Caenorhabditis elegans: one gene and its partner. The protein of the gene in region 1 purifies or fractionates together with the protein of each later gene. This does not show direct contact. Each region holds a gene or a part of one and is shown in the gene's direction. Other genes may lie near its edges.

What was found.
Region 2: the proteins of dgat-2 (region 1) and acs-22 purify together in Caenorhabditis elegans (affinity purification with western blotting, with the first as the bait; one study listed by BioGRID). This does not show direct contact.

What each region holds. Positions count from the first base shown.
Region 1 is NC_003283.11:17,658,616-17,662,540, forward strand, and holds dgat-2 (Acyltransferase), read left to right. Parts: upstream 1-1,687; 5' UTR 1,688-1,688; coding exon 1,689-2,114; intron 2,115-2,162; exon of another isoform or gene 2,163-2,234; intron 2,235-2,267; exon of another isoform or gene 2,268-2,341; intron 2,342-2,450; coding exon 2,451-3,062; 3' UTR 3,063-3,195; downstream 3,196-3,925. Other genes in the region: F59A1.11 (Serpentine Receptor, class T), read right to left, coding at 3,198-3,368, 3,739-3,846.
Region 2 is NC_003284.9:8,929,065-8,932,989, forward strand, and holds the start of acs-22 (Very long-chain fatty acid transport protein), read left to right. Parts: upstream 1-2,114; 5' UTR 2,115-2,254; coding exon 2,255-2,259; intron 2,260-3,925.

The sequences.
Region 1 (3,925 bases):
TTTAATTGAAAAACTTTCCGAAAACTGAATTTTTACAATTATTACTAGAAAATCCCAAAAAAGTGGGTTTTTTTTTGCAAAAAAAAATGAAATTTTAATAATTTTTAATCGTTTATCTACTTTTTGAATAAATTTTGATCTTTTTAATGCAAATTTTGGCTGATATTCCATAAAACCAGTAAAAAATTCACATTTTTCACTATTTTTCCGTTAATTTTATGGAAAATCGTCAATTTTAGGAAGAAAATACATGAAAATCATCCGAAAAGGTTAATATTTTAATAGAAATGTTCAATTTTTATTATTTTCTCTGAAAAAACGGTTTATAATCGAGAAAAAGACGAAATTCGCTAAATTTTTCCGCTCGTCGAATAAAATGCCAAGTACGCAAGTGTGCCCCGATATTGCGTACTTTGCCGCCTACAGTACCCAATTTTTTATACAAAGTCTAAGTTTTTCGGCTAAATTTCAGGCCTAAAAATTCAAATACGAAGAATTTTAGCTAAAGTTACAATTAACAAAAAATACCCTTGCTGAAAAACACGATTTTGAAAAAAGAGCTTTTGGTGTTGTCGAATTCCCTCTAAAATCTATTTTCAAACCCTCAACTTTTGCTCGTATACTTTGCCTGAACCATGACTCAATGATACCCTTATCAACCCAAAAACTGCCCGTTTTCTGTACGTACAAACCTTAAAAATTGAAGTTCACGTGAATCTGAACACCCTAATAGTGGGCGGAGTTGCTCAATGTCGGCGAAATTTCCAAGTGCTGATTGTGCACATTTTGTTCTATAAATTGCGGGGGGTACCCCAACACAAATTGCGAAATTTCGTTGTCTTATCACTTGACTTTTCAATCTTATCAGTTTTTTTAAATCGATAGGTACACGGAGGCTAATGGTGTAGTCTAGTAGTCTAGTGACACGTATAAAAACCACAGGGTCTTAGTCATTTGTCTCATTTTCAAAATATAGTTTTGTTTTGAAAAATAATTTTGTTTTTTGCATTTTTAGCGTGACTTTCTACATTTTAAAGTTGAAAATTTGAGTTTCTCGCCTAGAAAAACCTATTAGCCAGTCCAGGGAGTCGAACCCCTGACCTTCTGAGCCATACCCAACCTTCTAACCTACTGCGCCACGTTACCGCCACTCGAGGGCGCTCACGCCTTGCAAGGTGGCGCAGTGGCTAAGAGGCTAGGCTATGGCGCAGAAGGTCCCGGGTTCGACTCCCTGGAAGGGTATATAGATTTTCCTAGACAAGAAATTCAATATTTTCACTTTTGAATTTGGAAAATCAACCATTTTTCGAGGTTGCGGAAATTTAGTGACATTTGTTGCAACTTTTCGTTTTCTTGAACTAATTTTGATTGGATACTGAATTACTCACCTGTAAAAACCTACATGGGTCTGCCGGGGTCGAACCCCTGACCTTCGGCGTCATAGCCAAGCCTCTTATCCCCTGCGCCACCTGTGAGCGCGCGCCACTTGGCAGCGTGGCGCAGTGGCTAGAAGGATAGATTACGGCGCAGAAGGCCAGGGGTTCGATTCCCCGACATTGAATATATGTTTTTCAAGGTGAGAAATTTAGAAATTTTACTTTACAAGTTCAAAAATGTATGGTTTTTCTGATTTTTTCAATCTCCTCCGAATTTCGTTCGAATTTCCATTTAAAGGTACAATTTCCAGCATGCTAAACTACCAAATTCACAAAAAGCTCACCGACATCAAGTGGGTGAACATCTTCTCCCCATGGGATCGCCAGCGTGCCTACTTCGCCTTGGTCGTCTGGTTCGGGCTCATCTACCCATTCTGCTGCCTGTGCCAGGTGGCTCCGTTTGTGCTCTTTTTCACCGGCCAGTGGATTATTTTGGGTCTCTACGCAGTTTGGTACCTTTACGATCGAGAATCTCCGAGAAGAGGAGGATATCGGGATAATTGGTTCAGAAATTTGTCGCTGCACAAGTGGTTCGCCGAGTATTTTCCTGTTAAACTTCACAAAACTGCGGAGTTGGATCCAAACCAAAATTATTTATTCGGATATCATCCTCATGGAATTCTCGGTGTCGGAGCGTGGTCTTGTTTTGGATTTGATGCGTGCAATGTGAAGCAAGTGGTGAGTTGAGACACAAAAATTTGAAAATTTCACATAGAAAAACCTATAAACAGTGGCGGGGATCGAACCTCTGGCCTTCTGCGTCATAGCCAGATCTGTTAGCCACTGCGCCACTACTGACTCGGCGCCTCAGTTCGACCTCAACAACAGGCGGCGAGAATGGCGCAGTGGGTAAGCGGATTGGGCTTTGGCTCAGAAGGTCAGGGGTTCGACCCCCAGGACATGCCTATAGGTTTTTCTAGGTGAAACGCTCGAATTTTTACTTTAAAAATCTCCAAATCGACCTAGAAATGACTTTTTTTCCATTGTTACCTTCAAAATATTAAGTTTTTCCAGTTCAAAGGCATCCGCTTCAACATCTGCACCTTGCCCGGCAACTTCACCGCAATGTTCCGCCGCGAGATCCTCCTCAGCATCGGTATGATCGAGAGCTCCAAAGAATCCATCGAGCACGTGCTCAACTCCGAGGAAAAGGGCCGTGCCGTTGTAATTGTCGTGGGTGGAGCCGCTGAAGCTCTTGAAGCTCACCCAGGGAAGCATACTCTAACACTGGCAAATCGCAAAGGTTTCGTGAGAGAAGCCGTGAAGACCGGAGCTCATCTGGTGCCAGTTTATGCGTTTGGAGAGAATGACATATATAAGCAAATTGACAACCCGGAAGGCTCGAAATTACGGAAAATTCAAGAATGGGGAAAGAAGAAAATGGGAATTTCACTGCCACTAATCTACGGAAGAGGATATTTTCAAATGGCTCTTGGGCTTCTTCCAATGAGCCGAGCTGTGAATGTAGTTGTCGGAGCGCCTATTCAAGTGGAAAAAGAGCTCGATCCTTCTAAGGAAGTCATTGATGAAATTCATGGAGTTTATATGGAAAAGCTCGCCGAGTTATTTGAAGAGCACAAGGCAAAGTTCGGAGTTTCCAAGGACACTCGGCTCGTTTTTCAGTGAAATAACTTTTATTTTAGATTATTTGTTTGATGTTTGATGTCTGTTATGTTATCATTTTTTATCACCAAATCGTGTAATTTTGTTTACGGGTTCATTACTGAATTATTGAGAAAATGAATATTTATTCTTTTTTTTTCACTCCACAATTGATAAGCTCCGTTTTTGAGTTGGCTCCACTTGGAAAATCTTTACATCAGAGTGTTGAATGGTTGCCGGGGGGCTTGGTGCTTTGAAAAATCCGGCTATAGACCAAGCGATGAGTACTGCGGAGAGAAATGAGTACCATTCGGTGATGACCAAGGCATACTGGAAGAAAAAACATAGTTTCAGGCTGTTTTAAGGGGGTTGAAAGTTGAAAATTCGAATTTCTCACCTAGAAAAACCTATATATGGTGTCGTGGGTTTGAACCCCTGACCTTCTGAGTCGAAGGCAGGCCTCTTAGCCACTGCGCCAAGGAGCACACTGCAGTCGGCAAGAAATTTGGGCGCCGCCGCGCAGATAGCCTAGTGGATAAGAGGCTTGACTACGACTTGGGAGGCCAAGGGTTCGACCCCCAGATAGTGCTTATAGGTTTTTCTAGACGAAAAGATCGAATTTTTTACTTGAAAACTTTGAATATCAGTCTGGAAACTATCTTTCCACATTTGAAATAGTCAGAACTTATAAACAACCCACTATAGTGTACTTCGCTGCATGTAATTGATACACATCTTCTCCGAAAACTATCAATATTACCACTGGTATGATGGAAATGATAACGAGTATCGCAAACAACATAACGACCTGAAAACTTTTTTTCGAAACTTTGTCCGATGCACCACCCTTATCGTCAGAATTATGCAACATAATGGGTTATCAGTGT
Region 2 (3,925 bases), on another chromosome or scaffold:
CACCGGCTTAAATGTCTTAAATTGTAAGAAATCATCAAAAAATCTGGGGGTGGCATATAGAAGTTGCACGGCCAATTTTTCGATTTTTTGACCTATTTTCCGTAATTTTTGAGATATCATCACAAAAGTTTTGGAGTATAGGTTTTTCACCATTGTGAATCCGATTTCAATACCCTTTGCTTACCAAATTACACAGAAACTGCCATAACCGAAAATTTAGGGGGTGGCATATAGAACATGCACGCACTGTAGTTGATTTGTAATGTTTTCTAATTATTTTTAATTTCCCAAACAAACGTGTCTTTTTTCCAAAAAAATAAATAAATTTTTTAATCATGTTCCCGAAAACTTTAGTAAAATCCTTTCAAACGAAATCTATTTTGGTAGGTTCATGAATAATTGAAATCAAGTTTTGTTCCAATTTATTGAAAATTTCGTCTCAAAAACCAGAATAATTATCTAGGAAATAGTTCAACTTGCAGATTGGTTTTTTGCTGTTTTAAAGTGTCCCTTTTGCCGCCTCAATAACAAAATGCATTATCATTTTCTGTTTTTGTCGTATCTTTATTAGTTAAGTCCACTGTATTTTCAACAATCACTTCCAATTATTTTTGTAGACTGGCGACTTTTGATCTGACCATAATGATGTAGGTTATTTTTAAAAGTATAAAGACTTAAAATTTAAAAAGTTGAAAAGTTGATAAACATTCCATGTTCAATTAAGACTAGTTCATTATTCATTTTAACCAATCTTCTTTTTCTGTTCTGTTTTGCAACTTGATTATTTCCAATCAACTGACAAACCACAGATCCCACCTACTTACTTTTGCTTTCACTGGTAGGTTCCGTGATGAACCTAAACATAAGACAAAACGGTTTTTCACCGAATGACATCATCATTACCGCCCACTATCCATCTTCTCACTTAAAAGAAGTTGCCGCGTTCTCCCTGAAAGGAATTTTAAGACCAAAATGATCTGATCACACCTGAACGTTCAATTTATAATTATGAATTTTTTGTTTTAATTTAATTTGGCTCTTTTTCAGAAACAATGGACAATTTTACAAAAAATATGATGCCCATGAAAAAGTGGATTTGGAAGAATTGGTAAGTTTAAGGCAGTATAGGTGAGTTCCTTTTCAGATTTTGGTGGAGGGTCTTTTTTTGTTTTGAGTGTCCAGATTCGCTATATTCAAAATTCTATTTGTTTTTAATTTGAAAACACATAGACAATTCATAACTGTGACTTTGGTCTTAAATGTTTTCTAGGGCGGCTTTAACTAAAAAATTAGATTATTGGAATTTGTGAATATGATGCCGATATTAGTGGAACATATCACTTGCAATTTAAACTATGTAGCATTTTTTCTAAAAGGATGAATTCTAAAATTACGGTACCAATTAAAGTATTTTTCGGTTAATGTAGCAAGACAGAGTTACAGCTACAGAAAAATGCAATATCGTGTTTTGCAATATGAATTAGTAATATGCAAGACAATTTCTCCTTTGGTCCGTAGGGTTCAAGACTAATAGAGATAATACCGTATCCAGCAAACAACCAAGTCAATTTTGAAAATGTTTTGTACAAATAGATACGTTTCGTTTTAGGGTTTCATTAAAAAAATTAATAGGAGAAAAGTTTCTAAGAAACCCTTACCAACTCAAATTTTATGTTCTTCAACACTATCAGACAGATTATTGGAGTACAGTCCATCGTGTAGATCTTGAATAAATAAAAAAATGTAATCTTTTCAAATAATACCTATGGACAATTCACCATTATACATTGTGAAACACATATCCCACAAATTAAAAGACATTTCTTCCAGCAAGTCACTTTTTGCACAGTAGTTTTTGGTCAAGTTTTTTTTTTCCTTTTGGAAAAATTTTAACTTTTAAGCCCATTTCAGTGTAAAGTGAGTATTAAAAGCAATAGTAATACACTTTGGCTCATATTCAGTGCCGTAGAAACGACGACATATTGTGAAGAGCTAAAAAGCGAAATGGGACAAGAGAATCGGCATAGCATTGAAAAAAGGCACTTGTGGTTGGTGACTACAAGAATATTAGCAAAGTCTTTTCCTACTTTCTATCTTTTCGTTCTCTTCCTCTCACCGATGAGCAAACAAATCCGGTGGTGGCGGTGGTGACGCGGAGTTGTTTCAACCATTTCCTTCTTTCCGTTCAACTGCCAAATACTATTTTTCGCTAAGTTATATTTGAGAAATCACAAGAAGCTTACAAATAGGACAGATGAGGTATGGTTGACAATTTTTTATTCATTTTTGTAGACGTTAAGATCTGAAAGTGAGAACCTTAGAATTTTTAAAATTAATTTCGTAACCAGTGTGTTTCCGAATAGTCATTCAACCTGAATACACAGTTTGAATTTTTTTTAGTTTTTCATACTACAAAATACGGAAATAAGAGTGTGAATGTTTTTGTAATTAGACAAGAATGACTAGATGCAAGCATGAAATTTTAAATAATAAGGTACTTTCTGAATTTTAAATGATACACAATATTGTTTTTAAAACGTGTATTAATTTTATAACCAGACATTACGTTGGATGAAACATTACGAATACAGTTTTTTAAAAAGAATGAATTTTTAAAAAGAATGTGAAATAGAAATGTTGGCTGTTCCCATTTTAAAAATATGCTGAACATTGTTCTGTAACAAATTTAAAAAATGCTTCAAAGAGGTAGAGAAATGTCTTTTAAAAATAGTTTATTGTTGCCAGTTGTACTGTTCAACTGTTCTTTGCCACCCGGCACATACAGTGTGCGTCATTGTTTATTCTTTTTTGCTCTCTTTCTTGACGACCTTCCAACCTGTTGATTGGTGTCTCAGTTTGACCTTAAAAATCTAGAAACATTCAGTATTAAAATTGTCAGCTTGAATAGCAGTTCAAGTTTTATGAATTATATACAAAAAATATATACAATCTAAGTTGTTTATTCCGGAGTGTTTTTTTTTTTTGGAAACCTCTAAATTCTTAAAGAAATATTTTCAAAACTTTAAATAGATCAGTGAACTTCTGAAACGTGTTTTCAAAAATAATATTAGAGTTTAGAAATAAAGTTTGTTAAAAATTTTGTGAAAAGTTGTTTCATAAAGAATTATCAAATTACAATTCCAATTATTTTGTTTGCTTTTTGTTTTTCAGTCTGTATTGTAAGCGATTTTTCCGCTCACGTGTATAAAAAGTTTGAACGAGAGAAACACAGTTCTTGTCATATTTTAAAATTTTCCACAGTCAGAGTAGTTTAATAATTTATTCCACATTTCTAGCATATTTCAAATAGCAAATTTTAACCGTTTCCTTGTAAAAAATTAAAGTTACATTCCCTAGGCCATATGTTGGTGAAGTGCCGGGATTGAGTTCAACTGCCTTGTTTATTAGATTTCCGCCCTGATTTAAATCATGATCTAGACTACAATTAATGTTTGAAACCTGACCGGTGCTTGCTTGTGATGTTTTACATGTTGGCAGTTCATTGATAAGATAAAATGCACAGTCGTATCATGTCACGGGAAACATGAGCGTTAAAAACATGAACATACCGAGTTGTATTTATTTGTTCAGTAACTACAGTGTGGCGATAAGATATTAAAATTTTGAAACGGTGTTTTGATGATGATAAAGTAATATGAACATAGGATTTGTGCATTTTTGATGTGCTCTCAAACTTTGTTTCATAGTAAAGTAAACGCTTTTATATCTCTCTTTTCACATTAAAAAATAACATTTTATGAAAACTCAGCTTCAGGAAAATGCCGTTTTCATATAAAAACTTGATTCAAAATTAAAGTGTAAATAAAAATTTAATTCATTTTCAAAATATTCAATTTTATAAAAAAGTTCTCAACACTTATTTTTCCCGTAAAAAATACAAAAAATGAAACGTTTATTGTTATGA